Saccharomyces cerevisiae S288C: one gene and its partners. The protein of the gene in region 2 interacts with the protein of the main gene of each other region in a biochemical or structural test. Each region holds a gene or a part of one and is shown on either strand. Other genes may lie near its edges.

Region 1 (3,044 bases), 500 kb from region 2:
AAAATTTCTTTCATGCAAAGAAAAAGGATCCGGTGAACCAAGATAAAGCAAATAATGCTTCTCAAATTACGCCAACAGTGCCACATTCTCATCCATCAGATATGGTTATCCCTGACCATTTAGCCGAATTGATTCCTGAGCTGTATTCTTTCCAACAACTGGTGGATTCCGAGAAAAGATTAGATCATTTTATTCATCTGCGAAACTTACATATGAAGCGAATGGTTGCGCAGTGGGAGAGGTCAAAGCTATCCCAAGAGTTTCTTTATCCTCATTTAAATTTTCCAAATGTAAAATTTCTCCGAATCTTCATTTCAAATGTTAGTGAAAACCAACCCTGGCAAATGGACACAAACAATGAGGCTGACCTTATGGCACTGGAGAATGCCACTTGGACGATGAGAATCGAAGGTCGATTATTGGACAATGTGCAAGCTAATGATCCAGCAAGAGAAAAATTTAGCTCATTCATAGAATCGATAGTGGTAGACTTCAAAAATAAGGAAAACGATAATGTGCCATCGACTAAATTTAATGCGGCCCCTGAAGAAAATGCCACCGAAGGACCCAGTGATAAGAAATTGAACTTAAACTTACCGTTACAATTTTCACTGCCGAATGGTGACAACTCTACTACGACTAATACCGACCAAAATAATGCCACGATGGGGGAGGAGACTGCCAAAAAGGATATGAGTTCTACAACTCCAAAACTAGAATCAGTGAAATGGCAGTATGACCCGAATAATCCTGTAGACTTCGATGGTCTCGATATTAAGAGGGTAGGGTCTGAAAATGTAGAATGCACTATAAGCATCCTGCGAAAATCATCCCCAGAAGAGCCATTTATGAGCTACTCTCCACAACTAACCGCAATAATAGGATTGAAGAGCGGTACATCACATGATGCAATATTTTCCATATATAAATACATCCATTTAAATGAATTGCTTACCAATGATGAGTCTGCATTCGAAAATTTGATGGGCAACAGGAACAATCACAATAGCAACACCAGTACTAGTAAGATGCTTGATGCAGCCTCCAGTCAAGTTTCTATTGTAAAATTAGACACTCAGCTTATTACCTTATTACCCAGCAGTCTTAAAGAATCTTCTCCAGATACAATGAAATTAACGGATTTACTGTCCCTTATTAATAGTACTCACCTGCTCCCATTACAGCCAATTGAAATTGATTACACAGTACGCGTTGATAAAGCTTCCACTTATGGTGAGTTGGTTCTTGATATTGAAGTACCTGATGTCAACGCTCTAAAATTCAATAATACACAAAGAGAAAGTCAAATTGGGGCTGCTGAATTGAATGAAAATGCCAGGGAATTGGAACAAATCAAACCCAAGATAGCTTTACAGGACAAAGAAATAACGTCCGTTCTCTCGAATCTACACGAGAGCAACAAACGATACCGTTTCTTCAAGAAAATTAGTGAGGACCCAGTTAAAGCATTAAATGAATGCATTGCTTCTACCTCGAATGCTTTGAAAGTTTTATCGGGAGATGAGGGCTATAATGAAGATATGGTAAGGCGGGCTAACTTTTACAAGGAAAATGAAGCTATGTTGCGCGAGAATATAGAAGTCATATTATCAAATGGACGAATGTAGGCTTCTTTACATTGATACACAATAGACTGAAGATTTATGTAGTTTTCTTTGTATATAAACTCTAGATAGGAAAAGAAAGGTCACCATTCATTTATAATAATTAAAGACGAACAGACAATGCTGATTTGTTTATAGCGCCTACAAGTAATGGCGGCTGTCTGATTCCATTGTCTCTTTCTAAGAAAAGCGCTGAAAATTTTCTACTGGAAATTTCAGAATATGAAAAAGTAGTAGAGATGAGGGCCACTTAAACACAATAAGCATATAAGGAACCAAGGGAAAAGCAACAAATGAGTGCTAACAATGGTGTCACTGGCAAACTCTCTAGTAGAGTCATGAATATGAAGTTTATGAAATTTGGTAAGACGGATGACGAAGAGAGTTCCAACTCCAATACGCCGTCTAATATCAACTCAGATGTGGAACCTATAGAGCAGAAAGGTAAACTCTTTGGTCTGGATGACTCAGCGTGGGACCTCAATAGCTACAAAGATGATTTAAAAAAAATTTCAGGTAAGGAGAAGAAAAAGGTGAAAAGAGTAGTATATAAGAAGCGACCCAATCTCATAATCTCCAACGTTGGTTACAGTGAACTGCGAAAACCTGAGGGTGTGATAAGTGGGAGAAAAACCTTTGGCGATAATTCTGATGATAGTGGTTCCAGGAAGAGAAAGTTTGATGAAGGCGAACAAAATGAAGACGAGAAAAGGGATGCTAAGGATAAGGAATTTACAGGGAGCCAAGACGATGGAGAGGATGAATATGACCTAGATAAATTATTTAAGGATAGCATCAAAAAGAAAAAGACCAACCATAATGGTAAAAATAAAAATAGAAATTCAAAAAAGTAGCGCAGACAATGCACCAGCAGAAGTACGTATTCGTATATAATAATGAGAACATAATATAAAGCATTGTGTAGTATTTTTTTCGTATTTGTCATAAACCATAAGGACTGCCGTCCTTTCTATTACGCTCAATTCCAAAACATATACAAAAACATGTAAATACACCACTTCTAATTTATCAGATAAATCTCTATCATCAATATCATTGAGATCGTTTTTGTATCTTTGCGTTTTTTTTCATAGCTTGAGTGTCGTCACTCTCCTTTTCGCTACTTCATTATTGCTACCTCATAACTTTCTCTCAAGCTCAAGCATCATCTATTTCTCGAAAAGTTGCGTTGGTGATCTCAAACTCTGCCCCTCCAGTATTAATAATGTTACTTTCAGTACATAAGACTTCAGTTCCATTCACAGAACTCGTCTCATGCACGCCATGCACTTTTATGGAATCTACGCTAGGTACAGATGTTTTTGTACCGTGGTTGCCAAACAAAGTTGTTTGATGTAAGTCTTCATCAACTACGTAGGGCGAAGAGATGGTGTCTCTTTTCGTTAGAAAATTGTCCTT
Region 2 (4,120 bases):
GGAGATAGGTCCTTTCTGCAGGGATAGAAATTTGTGTTCTGCTACAGTACCCTTTTTGAAATAAAAATATGCCGGAAACGTCCACATTAGTCTCTTTTCTAGTTCTGATTGGTACTCATAGTATTTTTTCTCTAGTTCATTTAATTCTGATTTAATTATAGGGATTCTTGACAGTAGTACTCCGACTTTAATCTTGGGGGGAGCGGAACTGGCAGTTGCAGTTGCAGTAGCAAGCCCTCTTTTCAACATTAAATTTACCTTCATGGTACTGGATAAGCGCTTATGATTACGTAGAATATAAAGTTTATTGATTGTTTAACTGTTTTCTTTCCTTTTTTTTTTTTCATTTTCATTTTCATCTAAACCTTGAAAAAAAACCAGGAATACGGTAAAAAAAGAGAATAAAGAATAGGATAATGCTACATTTGAAACACAGTAGTTATGTGAATACATAAGGATGTCCATTTAACAAAAAAAAAAAAGGAACATAGGAAAAAACAGAAATTATATATAGAGGTAGATTAGTTTTATGTACTATGAGCAAATAAAGGGTGGAGTAAAGATCTTAGCTTTGTTGTTGTTGCTGCTGCTGTTGGTTAAGCATATTCATCAAAGAATTCAATTGAGCAGTGGGGTCAAATTGTTGCTGAGGTACAGGGGGAGCCGCTGCGGCAGGTCCCTGAGAAGGTAATGGTTGGTTGGGGGCATAACCATACGGTTGCTGCATCATAGGTTGCACATATTGCTGTGGTGGAGGAGATGCCAATGGTGCATTGCCGTAGGGTACTGGAGATATCGACGATATGCTACCAGATTTGTTAGGTTTACCAGAACGTGGCCCATTTCTGCCAGAATCAGTAGGCATCTTTTGAGATATTGCCTTGGAAGAAACACCTTCACCAACGATAATATCCGGTTCTTCGAAAACAATACCGGTAACGAGAGGTTGACCAGAAGTGCCACCCCATTGCGCACTTACTGACCATTTTTTATCAGCGTCCGTGAGCCTGTGCATAGGAATAATACTGTAACCGTGTTGATAGTCACAACAATCTCTTGGACCAAAACCAACTCCCCACCTAGTTCTCAATGGCAGGGCTCCATCTTTATTGAAGTTTTGCAAAACATTTTCGGCCTCATGTCTTGAATAAACTTTCACAAAAGCGTGTTTTCTGGAGTTATTCAGAATGACGCTTTGTACTTCAGCAAAAGGTTTTAAAACGTTAGCAAGGTCCCATTCCTTCATGTTTAGTGGTACCCCACCGATGAAAAGAGTACGGCTGTAGACTTTAATATGATCTGGTGGCAATGTAGAGTCGTAACTTACTGGTTTTGGTCTATAATGAGGATTATTGGAAACATTAAGCTCATCGGGGTATAAGTGGTGATTGTTTGTGCCAAATGTCGTATTGGGGGCGCCTATGCTGTATTGGTCCTGGGCCACAGATGGATAGCGGTCCTTCCTGCCTGTCGATGGCTGAGAAAATGGTGCCGGAGGAGATCTTGATCTATTCCTTCTTGAGTTATATCTTTCTCTTTCACGTTCACGTTCACGTCTGCTACCATATTCGGTAATTGTATGGGCTTGGGGAGGTGCGACTGTACCCACGGATGTATGTGAAGGCAAAGTTTTAAAATGTTTCTGCAGAGCCGCTATTACTTGGAAAAGAGCTGCTTGCTGTTTGGCTGGATCTGTGGAAGTCAAATCAGTTGGAAGACTTATGTTCAAGTTTAAAGGAGGACTTTTCTTTAGATTTGACAAGATTTGTTTCGACCTCTGCTTGGGATCCAGTGATAGTTGTTGTGAAGCGGTGTTCGCGGTGTTATTCGATATGTCCATAGCAAAGCATTTTGACCTGATGGCGTTCAAGTAACTCTTTTGAAACAAGCCGGACCTGTCCCAAATGTCTAAAAGCATACGAATTTTTTCCTTGTGGTCTTGATTACTTTTTGCAATAGCATCGGATAGCAGTTCTTGAATTACTTCGCCCAACGTGTTTATGGCATGGGCACAAGTACCGGGTTTGTTGCTGCTGCTGTTTGAATTTGATCTTGTTTCATCCAAGTAAGCTCTACCTATTGAATCGATGATATATAAAGAACCTAATTTATGAGAATCGGGACAAAGTCTTGAGTAGTCTATTATCAAAGATATGATTTTCGATTCAATATCAATGTGATCAAGTGCGTAAGTGGTTAGTTTCTTAATACGAGAACCTGAAATACCAGATTTCAAATCTTTGAATGATTCCAAGGTAGCTACAAAATTTTGAAAATCGTCGTCCTGCTGCATTATGGGATGTTTAGTATGTTTGTTGCTTTCCGGTTCCTTTCCTGTAACTCGTGCTTGGAGAAAAGTACTAGAAAAAATGTGTAATCAGAGAAAACTACAATACAAAAAAATAGACAATAGTATATTTTTCTTTTGCTTGAAATTATAGGTTGTAGCAATGGATACGGTAACGTAACTAATTGTAAGAAGAGCCTTGATTGGTGAGTTAGTTGTGTACAATACGATAATACGATGCGATACGATACGAAAACGATACAATAAGGTTGCCGAGTACTGACTTTTGATATGTTAAAAGCATGAAACTCGTAAAGGGAAGGAGCGGGGAGTCATGCTAACGAGGAATGGAACATGGAGGAAGGACGAAACACTTGCCCTTTTATACTTTTTCTTTTTCACCTCCTCCGCTCCGACCGGTGGCAAAAAAAAAAATCAAAAATGTACCGTATGTAATGACCAATAAATCACCAAAGACGAAACATTTATTTTTGCCGCCGACTTTCCAATGAATTTGCTCAATTTCAGGTTAGTGGTCATAAGGATATCTAACAAGCCATCAAAAGCATAATGTTTTTGAGTACTCGATAGAATTATGTATTGCGGACTTTAGTAGAATAGGAAACAATGCGCTATACGTGCGCAGTAGCTCATTTCGACCATAAACTAATTGTAGATTTTTTGCGTTTCTGGTGCTATTCATTGAAACAAGAAACCGATAGTACTTCCACTTACAATACTAATACTTGCGGTAATGTTACAATCCTTCACTTATTATTTTCGGAGAATAATAACCATGCATCTTGCAATACTTTCACGGCTTTGCCTTGTCTCGTGCGCTAGTAACTGCAGTAGAACCCACCCATATGACAATGCAAATATTAATCTAACTTAGTCAAAAAAAAAAAATGCCTTCACCTCGTTTGTCTTCATCTGAGATAAGGTTCCGGTTTTCATCTTGTCCCTGTTTGTTGCCTTTGTTCTTGCCTCATCGCTTCTAAAGCGGCTTTCAAGCTTTGATCTTTAAATGGAAATCTTTAATTCTAAGAAGTGGTAGCAACCATTGAGAGGCAAAAACAAGGGAACGACGGAAAGCAGGCATGAGCGCTATCTATAAATTATCTATTCAGGGCATACGGTCTTTTGACTCCAATGATAGGGAAACTATTGAATTTGGCAAGCCTCTGACTTTAATAGTCGGCATGAATGGTTCAGGTAAAACGACTATCATCGAATGTTTAAAGTACGCTACCACAGGTGATCTACCGCCCAACAGCAAGGGAGGAGTATTCATTCATGACCCGAAGATAACTGGTGAAAAGGACATTAGAGCTCAGGTCAAACTGGCGTTTACGAGTGCCAATGGACTCAATATGATTGTCACCAGAAATATTCAGTTGCTAATGAAAAAGACTACTACTACATTTAAGACTTTAGAAGGCCAGTTGGTCGCTATAAATAATAGTGGTGACCGCAGTACTTTGTCCACCCGGTCTCTGGAATTAGACGCACAAGTACCCCTGTATCTGGGAGTTCCAAAAGCGATCTTGGAATACGTGATATTCTGTCACCAAGAAGACAGCCTGTGGCCACTGAGTGAACCATCCAATCTTAAAAAGAAGTTTGATGAAATTTTCCAAGCGATGAAATTTACAAAGGCTCTAGACAATTTAAAATCCATAAAGAAAGACATGTCCGTGGATATCAAGTTATTAAAGCAATCAGTAGAACACTTAAAGTTGGATAAAGACAGATCGAAAGCAATGAAGCTCAATATCCACCAATTGCAAACTAAGATAGATCAGTATAATGAAGAAGTGTCTGAAATTGAAT
Region 3 (4,728 bases), on a different chromosome or scaffold from region 2:
TAAGTTGCCAATCCCTGAGACGCTTGTATGACTACTAAAGTATTCATCCTGCTAAAGCCAGCTTGCATTTGCGATCTTAAACCAGCAGTGCCAAACTGAATTCTAGAATCAAATCTTTTGTGTAACTCATTCCAGTCGGATTTTTTGCAGAGAGCGGTGACCTCTTCTATAGTTTTTGGGTTGCGGTCTTGCTTAAACCATAATGATATCGGATCTTTCAAGTCAGATGGTACGGTTTCTAAAATTCCTTGCAACATTTTTTGAAATTGCAGCAGCTAATGGCTCGAGAGTACTGTTGAGTATTTAGGGGGAAAGGAGAAAGAATCAATTAGTTCTCGCTACAGGGAGAAAACAATACAATATATAATGTTCAAAAAAAAAAAACGAAATGAAATCAAAAAAAAAAAAAAAAAAAAAAAAAAAAAAAAAAGGATTTCAGGATATCAAAATAAGCAAAAATATTGTTGCTATTTATCGATTTGTTACAAACGTATATATAATATGAACAATTATAGGTACAAAGACCAATGAGGAAAATGTGTGGAAAGATACGGCATCTGAGCTGCTAATCATCCAGCATATCCATCAACTCTTCCTCCAACTGCGAATCGCTGTCTTCGTTGTCATCCCCTTCTCCTTTATGTTGTACAGGACCATCTTGAGAAGGTTCCGCCTTGGTCTTCTTTTGTGATGTATCATCATGATTGTCCTCGATGCTCCTCTTTCTGTCAATGCCTTCCGAGTTGTTTTCGTCATCACTTTCGTCGTCGTGGTCGTCATCTTCGTCGTCGTCGCTAGCTGTGTCCGGAATATCTTCATCGTCGTCATTGTTTAACCATGAAGTACCAGCAGCGAATAAATTTAGATTTTCTTGTGATGTCAACATATGCTGTTGTTCCTGGGTCTCCTCCAGATATTCTTGTCTTTTTTGTAATTGTGTTTGAAAGTTTTGTAATTCCTCGTCGGAGATGGGGCTGTCCACGATTAACGTGTAGGGTTTTTCATCCACCTTTTTCCAATTTACCAAACACTCAAATATCCAATCTGGGTGAACAATTTTAATCTGTGGGTTGAACTTTTTCGCTAGACGCGCTTTATAAGTGCTAGGGTTCTTGGTGATTAAATGTGTCGTCAGGTAATCTATATCTGGAGTGGAAGTGGCACCAAATGTACTCGTCCATATCACTATGTCCGACCTTTGAATATCGGTCCCGAGGGGTATTAATCCTGAAAAAACAAAATAGCAATTTTGGAAGACTTTTTGCTTCAAACTTGGTATGATTTCCATCAGATTTGGTTCTGGCTCATTTTGTTGTGAGAGCATATCATAATAAGTTTTGTGAATGTTTGATAGCGTACCCATTAAGTAGTATAGTTCATCATCGTCATCAACTAGTAGTTTTTGATCATGCAGGTGTTTTTGTAGTTTGGCCAAGGGTCGATTTTGTTGTTGGACTTCTAAAGATGCTGAATATTCTAGTTTCTTGGTCAACTCTTCTTTGGATTCGTTCGCAGGAGGCTCCTCAGCAGTCGCCAGTTGATGGTTCAATTTTTCTTCTTGGCGTTTAACTTCTTTATCTATCTTTTCTTGTAGTTTTTTTTCGTTATCCATAATATCCGTCAGCAGTTCCTGAGATTCTTGGCTCTTCTGTCTTGTCTTCCTCCCTAGTTGTAGCATTCCTGTAGATTGTTTGGGCAAGAAATTAGAATTAATGTCACCTACACCAACGAAGAAGTTATAAGGAACAACTTTGATCAAGTTTGGACACCAATTCCAAACATCACCTCTGTCGTCAATAACTACAACCATTGACTGGTCAGTGGGGAAAAGTTTAGCTAATGATTTAGTTGTTAGAGACCCATTTTCATCACGCGACAGAATTCTATCGCCAAACAATTCGCCCGTAGGGTCCACGATTTTGGCAATTTGCAAGGCATAAGCCCTTGTAGCCATTGTGTAGATATGCATTTCAAAAAGAGGCGCCACTTTAGCGAAAAATTCCTTTAAACCGGGCCTTACCTTCACGTAGTACCAACATTTTCTTACGGGAGGCGGTCTCAGCATAGAACCATCGTCATTCATGTACATAAGTGGGAGTACTAACTCCTCATCCAACGTAAAGCTCTTGACGTCTCTTAATGTTTCAAAATTCGGATTATTGGGGTCGTTCTTCCACTCTGCAATCGTAGGGTCCACGCCACAATGGATGATGGTTTGATCTAAATCCACCACTAAGATAAGTTTCTTATCCCGTCGCAAATGCTCCTTCAATGCCTTGCCTGTTCTAATGGCTTCTGTCTCGCTAATCTGTAAATCCACGTCCCCGACAACGTCTAGTGGTACACCATCGAAGGCATCTGCAGAAACTTCTTTCCCGCATTGAGTACATAGCCCGCCATACACGATGTCATGGTTACATGGCCTTTTTATTTCGCAAATCACTTGGTTAGCAGTGGCTACTTCATCTCCTACGTCTACATTCCAACTAATCAAGTCCCCCTCGTAGGGACTTTCGAAGAATTCTATGGATTCACGCAGTTGTTTGGTTGGCGGAGAGACACCATTACTTCCGGCGCTGCCGCCGGGGGAAACATCGTGCTCGTTATCATCGTCACCAGTGTCTGAGGCCCTTTCCACCAAATACCAGAACTTATAGACAAGCAACCTATCACCCTCATGAAGGTACGAACCTACGCTTGGAATGAGTTTATCGATCTGAATCGGATACGGCAAGCCTTGGGGAGACCTTATTTGTGTGGTCATAATCTGCTTTGCTTGTGTTTACACGTTCGCGGTCAATGCAAGTACCGCTATATGACTAAATACAGTACCCTGGCTGCTAATTAAAGGGGGAAGGGGTGATTGATTGGGATGATTAGCTCGTTGTTATTATGTGTTTATTACTGTAGGTGTGAAACGAAAATTTTTTTTTTTCTTTCGCAAGGGCGCGTCTTCCAAAAGTGTCCAGATATTATGATGATATTATTGATGGATACATGTAATACGTAGATTAAATATATGCCGATAGAGTAGGGTAAAAGTATATAGGTTGCGGCATCTAGACGTTTATTTAAACATCGCCGTTCAGTAGTGAATCAAGAGCGCCTTGGACGGAGCCACCGCTTCTCCTGAGGGCTGCGACGTTTCTATCGAAATCGAAGAAGCCCATGTCGTTTAGTTGTCTTAATTGATGTTCATAGCGTTCTTCCGGTGGTCTGGTGTCTTCTGCTTGAGATGCTTGTACAGGGGGTTGGAACATAGACGCTAGCAATGCAGGATCGAAGGCGGGCATCCCGGTGGATGCAGCGTTTCCCGCGTTAGCAAAGGGGTTTAATGCAGGGTTCAGAAGAGACGCAAATGGGTTTGCAGCTGTGTTAGCGCCTGCGTTGGTACCTGCATTAGTCCCTGCGTTGTTCCCTGTGTTGGATGAGGAAGTAGTGTTCGTGTTGGAGCCTTCCTCTGGAGCATCGCCACCAGGAGCGGGGAAGGCAGAGGCAGCCCCACCTGCAGAGCCCATACCGGCATTAGGGTCCATCATTCTTGCGAATTGCATGCTCTGTCTAATCATATCAGGATTGGTGAGCATCTGTCTAAACATGGGACTTTGTAGCATTTGCCTGGCTTGTGGACCCATGGCCTGCAATTGCGGGTTGGACTGGATCATAAAGTCCAACATCTGAGGGTTACTCAACATCTCGTTCATTTGCGATTGGAAGATGGGGTTTTCCATCATCCTCAACAGCTCGTCTTGGTTATTCGAGTCGTTGTTTAATGCACCACCGTCCGGGCCAAACATGTCTGCAGATGGCATATTCAAATATCCAGCGTATCTGGCACTGGTCAAGTCGGCCAGCGGATTGAAGCCTGCACTTTGACCTGACGACATGTTCGGGGTGGCGCCAGTGCCAGCTGCTGCACCGGTGGCGGTGGCGTTATTTGCGCCAGCGGCACTGGCGGTTTGTGGTTTGGGTTGTGACTTGACCAGATGGACGCTGTGACCGTCTTGAATGTGGTATGACTCCACGGTTTGGTCGTCCTTTAAAATCTTACCCGAGTAGATCAATCTCTGATTTGCCACCGGGATACCGTTCGCTTTGTTTATCGCCTCCTTGAATTGCAACACTGTGCTTTCAGGTGCCACATTTACTTCCCACTTGTCTTGTCCTGACTTGATATGTATATTCAACGACATTATCGTGCTAGAATGATTCGGTGTCTTTGATCCGTCTTATTTGCCTCTCGTCCATCGGTGGATTGAACTTAAAACTGGCTTTAAATTGTTCTTTCCCTTCAGCGGGCCGTGACCCGCTCTCAGAGGCTATTTTAATAATGATAAAAGTATTGCAATGAAGAGCCGCATAGTGATTATGGAAAGAAGCTCTTAGCAAGGGCGAAAAGAGACTGTTCGTGTGTGTCAACAGGTATATCGTACGCTAAATGGCCAAAGATTTGAACGATTCGGGGTTTCCACCGAAGAGGAAGCCTTTGCTGCGTCCTCAACGATCTGATTTTACCGCAAATAGTTCGACAACTATGAACGTTAATGCAAACACAAGGGGGCGTGGTAGGCAGAAACAAGAGGGTGGTAAAGGCAGTTCGAGGTCACCGTCGTTACACTCTCCAAAATCATGGATAAGAAGCGCGTCTGCTACGGGGATCCTTGGACTAAGACGTCCCGAACTAGCACATTCTCATTCGCATGCTCCTTCCACCGGAACGCCTGCTGG
Region 4 (4,637 bases), on a different chromosome or scaffold from region 2:
ATTAGACTCGGAGCTCGTAGCCAATGCCGCCTTTATCATGAAAGGAACTACTACGGTGAACGCCAAATAATATAGTCTAAATTCCCATGTATTCCATAGCGGAGGAGATGGGCTATTAGAGCTGAGCACAGGGTTACGGGTAACAGTAACGGCACTAGAAGATGAACCATTCTCTTCTTTAGATGAATTGATAAATATCCTTTGTCGCCTTTTGAATTCAATGTCTGGCTTTATTCGTGAATCAAGTGCCTGCACGGAAAAGAAATGTACGATGCAACTCCAGATTCTTAACATCGACATCTGACTTGTAGCGATGACGTCAATTATTTTTGAGCCCTATAATAAGGTAGTTGAGAAGACAAATTTGAAGCACCCAAAAACCCTCAAAACAGTACCTACCTCAAAGCTAGCTTCTCTTTCTTCTTCTATTTGACTTCATTTTTTCCATATTCACCATTGGTACCTTCCATAAACAACTATAACGCAGTACAAATGAAAAAAGAAGAAAAAAAAAAGAAAAAAAAAGAGACCTAAACGCGCCAAGATTACAGGTAAACGAGTAGAACTTTGATCTATGTGCCTGAAAACCCCTCGGGCACAGGGTTCATAACGAAAAAAAAAAAATCGTAAGTAATGGTAACCATAGTAACCGATGCATGGGTTTTAAAAGTCACGTGCTTAAGTCCATTAAGACCGGAAACCTCTACACCAGTTCTCCTTCTGCAAGGGTTTTCTTTTTTTATTTTTTTTGATGGGATGGCTCTCTTTCCCCGTGTTTGTACTTTTGATATATATAGGATATTCATCAAAACAGCGTTTCGAACTCAGCGCTTGCACGATAACATAAGCACCTCGAGACACATTAGGAAAATTTAACATCCTATTTATTTATTGAATTTACAGGCACGGAAGGCCAATTAGTTTAATTCAGACACATATCATGAGAGCAGTCACTAGAAACAAAATAGTCAATAACCTATACTTTTCTACATTTCTCATTGCATTCGCATCAGTGGCCATCGGTTCTGTGCTGCCATGTCCAGCACATTCAGTGGATTCTGATTCACCAGCTGTACAGCAACACAAGCTTCAGCTTGCTCATGAGCAGGAGTTAAAGAGGAAGGATGCTTTAAGTAAAAAGATTTAAACAGGTACGGGCTATCTGGAACTTTTGATAAGTTGTATTCTATCTCTTTTATTTCCTCTTTTTATTTATTTTCGAGTGCCGTAATCTTCGCTACTTCAAGTTTCATAATCAATCGACTTTCTGTATGGGTAAGCATCTGGTGTGATGCAGTTTCATTATGACACCACAAATACAAAAGAGACTATTTAAATATGTATATAGATCACATTCCAAAAAAGAAAACCATTAATAATATCACTCTTTAATATTCCAAATTGAAACGAAAAAGCGCTATTCTTATTCGCTTCCTAACTACCGCCCTAGTTCGTGCTTGCATTTTTTTGTAGAACGATAAATTATGGTATCCCACGTGATTGAGTGTAACCCTGAATTGTTGAAGAGAAAATGAAGCGGAAGAAGCAAAGGACAAAAAACAATTCATTTGATTTTGCCACTTCTAAATGAAGGTCTAATAAAAGCTATCTTGAGCATCTTTATTAGATTCTGCACAGCAACAAGCGATTTTCTTTGGTCAAAATATAATAATTGACTTACGTTTTTCCCGGACTGTCCTTTCATAATATAATAACCATCTGCAAGCCATGTCAGATGAAAACCATAACAGTGATGTTCAAGATATTCCTTCACCTGAACTATCCGTCGATAGTAACTCTAACGAGAATGAATTGATGAATAACTCAAGCGCAGACGATGGAATCGAATTTGACGCCCCAGAGGAAGAAAGAGAAGCCGAAAGGGAGGAGGAAAATGAAGAACAACACGAACTGGAAGATGTGAACGATGAAGAGGAGGAAGATAAGGAGGAAAAAGGAGAGGAAAACGGGGAAGTAATAAACACAGAAGAAGAAGAAGAAGAAGAACATCAACAAAAAGGCGGAAATGATGATGACGATGATGATAATGAAGAGGAAGAAGAGGAAGAAGAGGATGATGACGATGATGATGATGACGACGATGATGATGAAGAAGAAGAAGAAGAAGAAGAAGAAGAAGGCAACGACAACAGTTCGGTAGGCTCAGATAGTGCCGCTGAAGACGGTGAGGATGAGGAAGACAAAAAGGATAAAACCAAAGATAAAGAGGTCGAACTTCGCCGTGAAACATTGGAAAAAGAACAAAAGGACGTAGATGAAGCTATAAAAAAAATAACTCGTGAAGAAAATGATAATACTCACTTTCCAACTAATATGGAAAATGTTAATTACGATCTTTTACAAAAGCAAGTCAAGTACATTATGGACAGTAACATGCTAAATTTGCCTCAGTTTCAACATTTACCTCAAGAAGAAAAGATGTCTGCGATTTTAGCAATGTTAAATTCAAATTCTGACACAGCTCTTTCCGTACCTCCTCATGATAGTACTATCTCAACAACAGCTAGCGCCTCAGCCACAAGCGGCGCAAGAAGCAATGATCAAAGAAAACCTCCATTGTCAGATGCCCAAAGACGTATGAGATTTCCTAGGGCGGATTTATCTAAGCCGATTACCGAAGAAGAACACGACCGTTATGCAGCCTATTTGCACGGTGAAAATAAAATCACCGAGATGCACAATATTCCTCCGAAGTCAAGATTATTCATTGGTAATTTGCCGCTAAAGAACGTTTCTAAGGAGGATTTATTTAGGATTTTCTCTCCATACGGTCATATCATGCAAATCAATATCAAAAATGCCTTTGGATTCATTCAGTTTGACAACCCTCAAAGCGTTAGAGATGCAATTGAATGCGAGTCTCAAGAAATGAACTTTGGCAAAAAGTTGATCCTGGAAGTTTCTAGCTCGAATGCTCGTCCTCAATTTGATCATGGTGATCACGGTACAAACAGTAGTTCTACTTTTATTTCTTCCGCAAAACGACCATTTCAAACTGAATCTGGTGACATGTACAATGACGACAATGGTGCTGGCTACAAGAAATCCAGAAGACACACCGTTTCTTGCAACATTTTCGTTAAAAGAACCGCAGATCGTACGTATGCCATTGAGGTTTTCAACAGGTTTAGGGACGGGACTGGTTTGGAAACTGATATGATTTTCTTGAAACCAAGAATGGAACTGGGAAAGCTTATCAATGATGCCGCATATAATGGGGTGTGGGGCGTTGTTTTAGTTAATAAAACACACAATGTAGATGTTCAAACTTTCTACAAAGGCTCACAAGGTGAAACGAAATTTGATGAATATATTAGCATATCCGCTGATGACGCAGTTGCCATTTTTAATAACATCAAAAACAACAGAAATAATTCTCGTCCTACTGATTACCGTGCTATGAGCCATCAGCAAAACATATATGGCGCTCCTCCTCTTCCTGTTCCAAACGGCCCAGCTGTCGGACCTCCTCCTCAAACAAACTATTACCAGGGTTACAGTATGCCTCCTCCACAACAACAACAGCAACAGCCATATGGTAATTATGGGATGCCACCACCATCCCATGACCAAGGATATGGTTCTCAACCTCCAATTCCAATGAATCAGAGCTACGGTCGCTACCAGACTTCTATTCCACCACCACCTCCACAACAACAAATTCCTCAAGGGTATGGTCGTTATCAGGCTGGTCCGCCTCCTCAACCACCTTCTCAAACTCCAATGGACCAGCAACAACTATTATCTGCCATTCAAAACCTTCCACCTAACGTTGTATCGAATTTGCTTTCAATGGCCCAACAACAGCAACAACAACCTCATGCTCAGCAGCAATTGGTTGGTTTAATACAATCAATGCAAGGCCAGGCTCCTCAACAACAGCAACAACAGTTGGGTGGATATTCCTCTATGAACTCATCCTCTCCCCCTCCTATGAGTACCAATTACAATGGTCAAAATATATCTGCAAAACCCTCTGCCCCACCAATGTCACACCAACCTCCGCCACCTCAACAACAACAACAACAACAACAACAGCAACAGCAACAGCAACAGCAACCTGCTGGCAATAATGTTCAAAGTCTATTAGATAGTTTAGCAAAACTACAAAAATAGACTCCCTTTTTTCAATCTTTTCCATTTCTTGTACATTATACTTGAATTCTTTTAATTGGACGAAAAATTTTTAAGGAAAGTAGATTGATATGGTTTGCATAAATTCGACATAGCGGTTTATGCTTTAATCGTTTTCCCTTCCCAAATTGGACTAGGACTTAATTCTTACTATTGCTGCATCTCTTTCAGAACGAAAAACTCTTTACCCTGTTATAAATTTCTTTTATTTCTTCCTTATCAAATGCTATTTGGTCTATTTATTTCACTTACACGCACCTCTTCATTTGTTTCCTCTGCCAAGAGAATGGCTTTTCATTTCTTTTTCTTCTCTTTAGTTAAATGTTCTTATATCAAAACTTTGTAAAATTGCTTTGTAAACAGATTATTAAGTACCGCTCTATTTACCCCATAACGAAAAGAAGTTCCGCGCTTAGGACACCTTTCCCTAGAGGTTCTTGTTTGATTTGTTTTAGTCATCTGCCTGTCGTTTATTTTAGTTT

Evidence for each region.
Region 1: the proteins of NRD1 (region 2) and MPP6 are reported together in a solved structure, tested with the Saccharomyces cerevisiae proteins (one study listed by BioGRID).
Region 3: the proteins of NRD1 (region 2) and FCP1 are reported together in a solved structure, tested with the Saccharomyces cerevisiae proteins (one study listed by BioGRID).
Region 4: the proteins of NRD1 (region 2) and NAB3 form a complex in vitro, tested with the Saccharomyces cerevisiae proteins (4 studies listed by BioGRID).

What each region holds. Positions count from the first base shown.
Region 1 is NC_001146.8:670,491-673,534, forward strand, and holds MPP6 (Mpp6p), read left to right. Parts: upstream 1-1,918; coding exon 1,919-2,479; downstream 2,480-3,044. Other genes in the region: SNF12 (Snf12p), read left to right, coding at 1-1,628; Sar family guanine nucleotide exchange factor SEC12, read right to left, coding at 2,784-3,044. UniProt on the Saccharomyces cerevisiae protein: RNA-binding protein that associates with the RNA exosome complex. Involved in surveillance of pre-rRNAs and pre-mRNAs, and the degradation of cryptic non-coding RNAs (ncRNA) derived from intergenic regions and the ribosomal DNA spacer heterochromatin.
Region 2 is NC_001146.8:172,023-176,142, forward strand, and holds NRD1 (Nrd1 complex RNA-binding subunit), read right to left. Parts: upstream 2,294-4,120; coding exon 566-2,293; downstream 1-565. Other genes in the region: mitochondrial 54S ribosomal protein mL46 MRPL17, read right to left, coding at 1-264; RAD50 (MRX complex DNA-binding subunit), read left to right, coding at 3,388-4,120. UniProt on the Saccharomyces cerevisiae protein: Plays a role in sequence-specific regulation of nuclear pre-mRNA abundance.
Region 3 is NC_001145.3:818,292-823,019, reverse strand, and holds FCP1 (protein serine/threonine phosphatase), read right to left. Parts: upstream 2,765-4,728; coding exon 566-2,764; downstream 1-565. Other genes in the region: phosphoribomutase PRM15, read right to left, coding at 1-257; ubiquitin domain-containing protein DSK2, read right to left, coding at 3,072-4,193; ubiquitin-ubiquitin ligase BUL1, read left to right, coding at 4,439-4,728. UniProt on the Saccharomyces cerevisiae protein: Processively dephosphorylates 'Ser-2' and 'Ser-5' of the heptad repeats YSPTSPS in the C-terminal domain of the largest RNA polymerase II subunit (RPB1). This promotes the activity of RNA polymerase II.
Region 4 is NC_001148.4:184,817-189,453, reverse strand, and holds NAB3 (Nab3p), read left to right. Parts: upstream 1-1,728; coding exon 1,729-4,137; downstream 4,138-4,637. Other genes in the region: GUP2 (putative O-acyltransferase), read right to left, coding at 1-300; COA2 (Coa2p), read left to right, coding at 941-1,147. UniProt on the Saccharomyces cerevisiae protein: May be required for packaging pre-mRNAs into ribonucleoprotein structures amenable to efficient nuclear RNA processing. Binds to poly(A)+ RNA. Appears to act in the maintenance of CLN3 mRNA levels.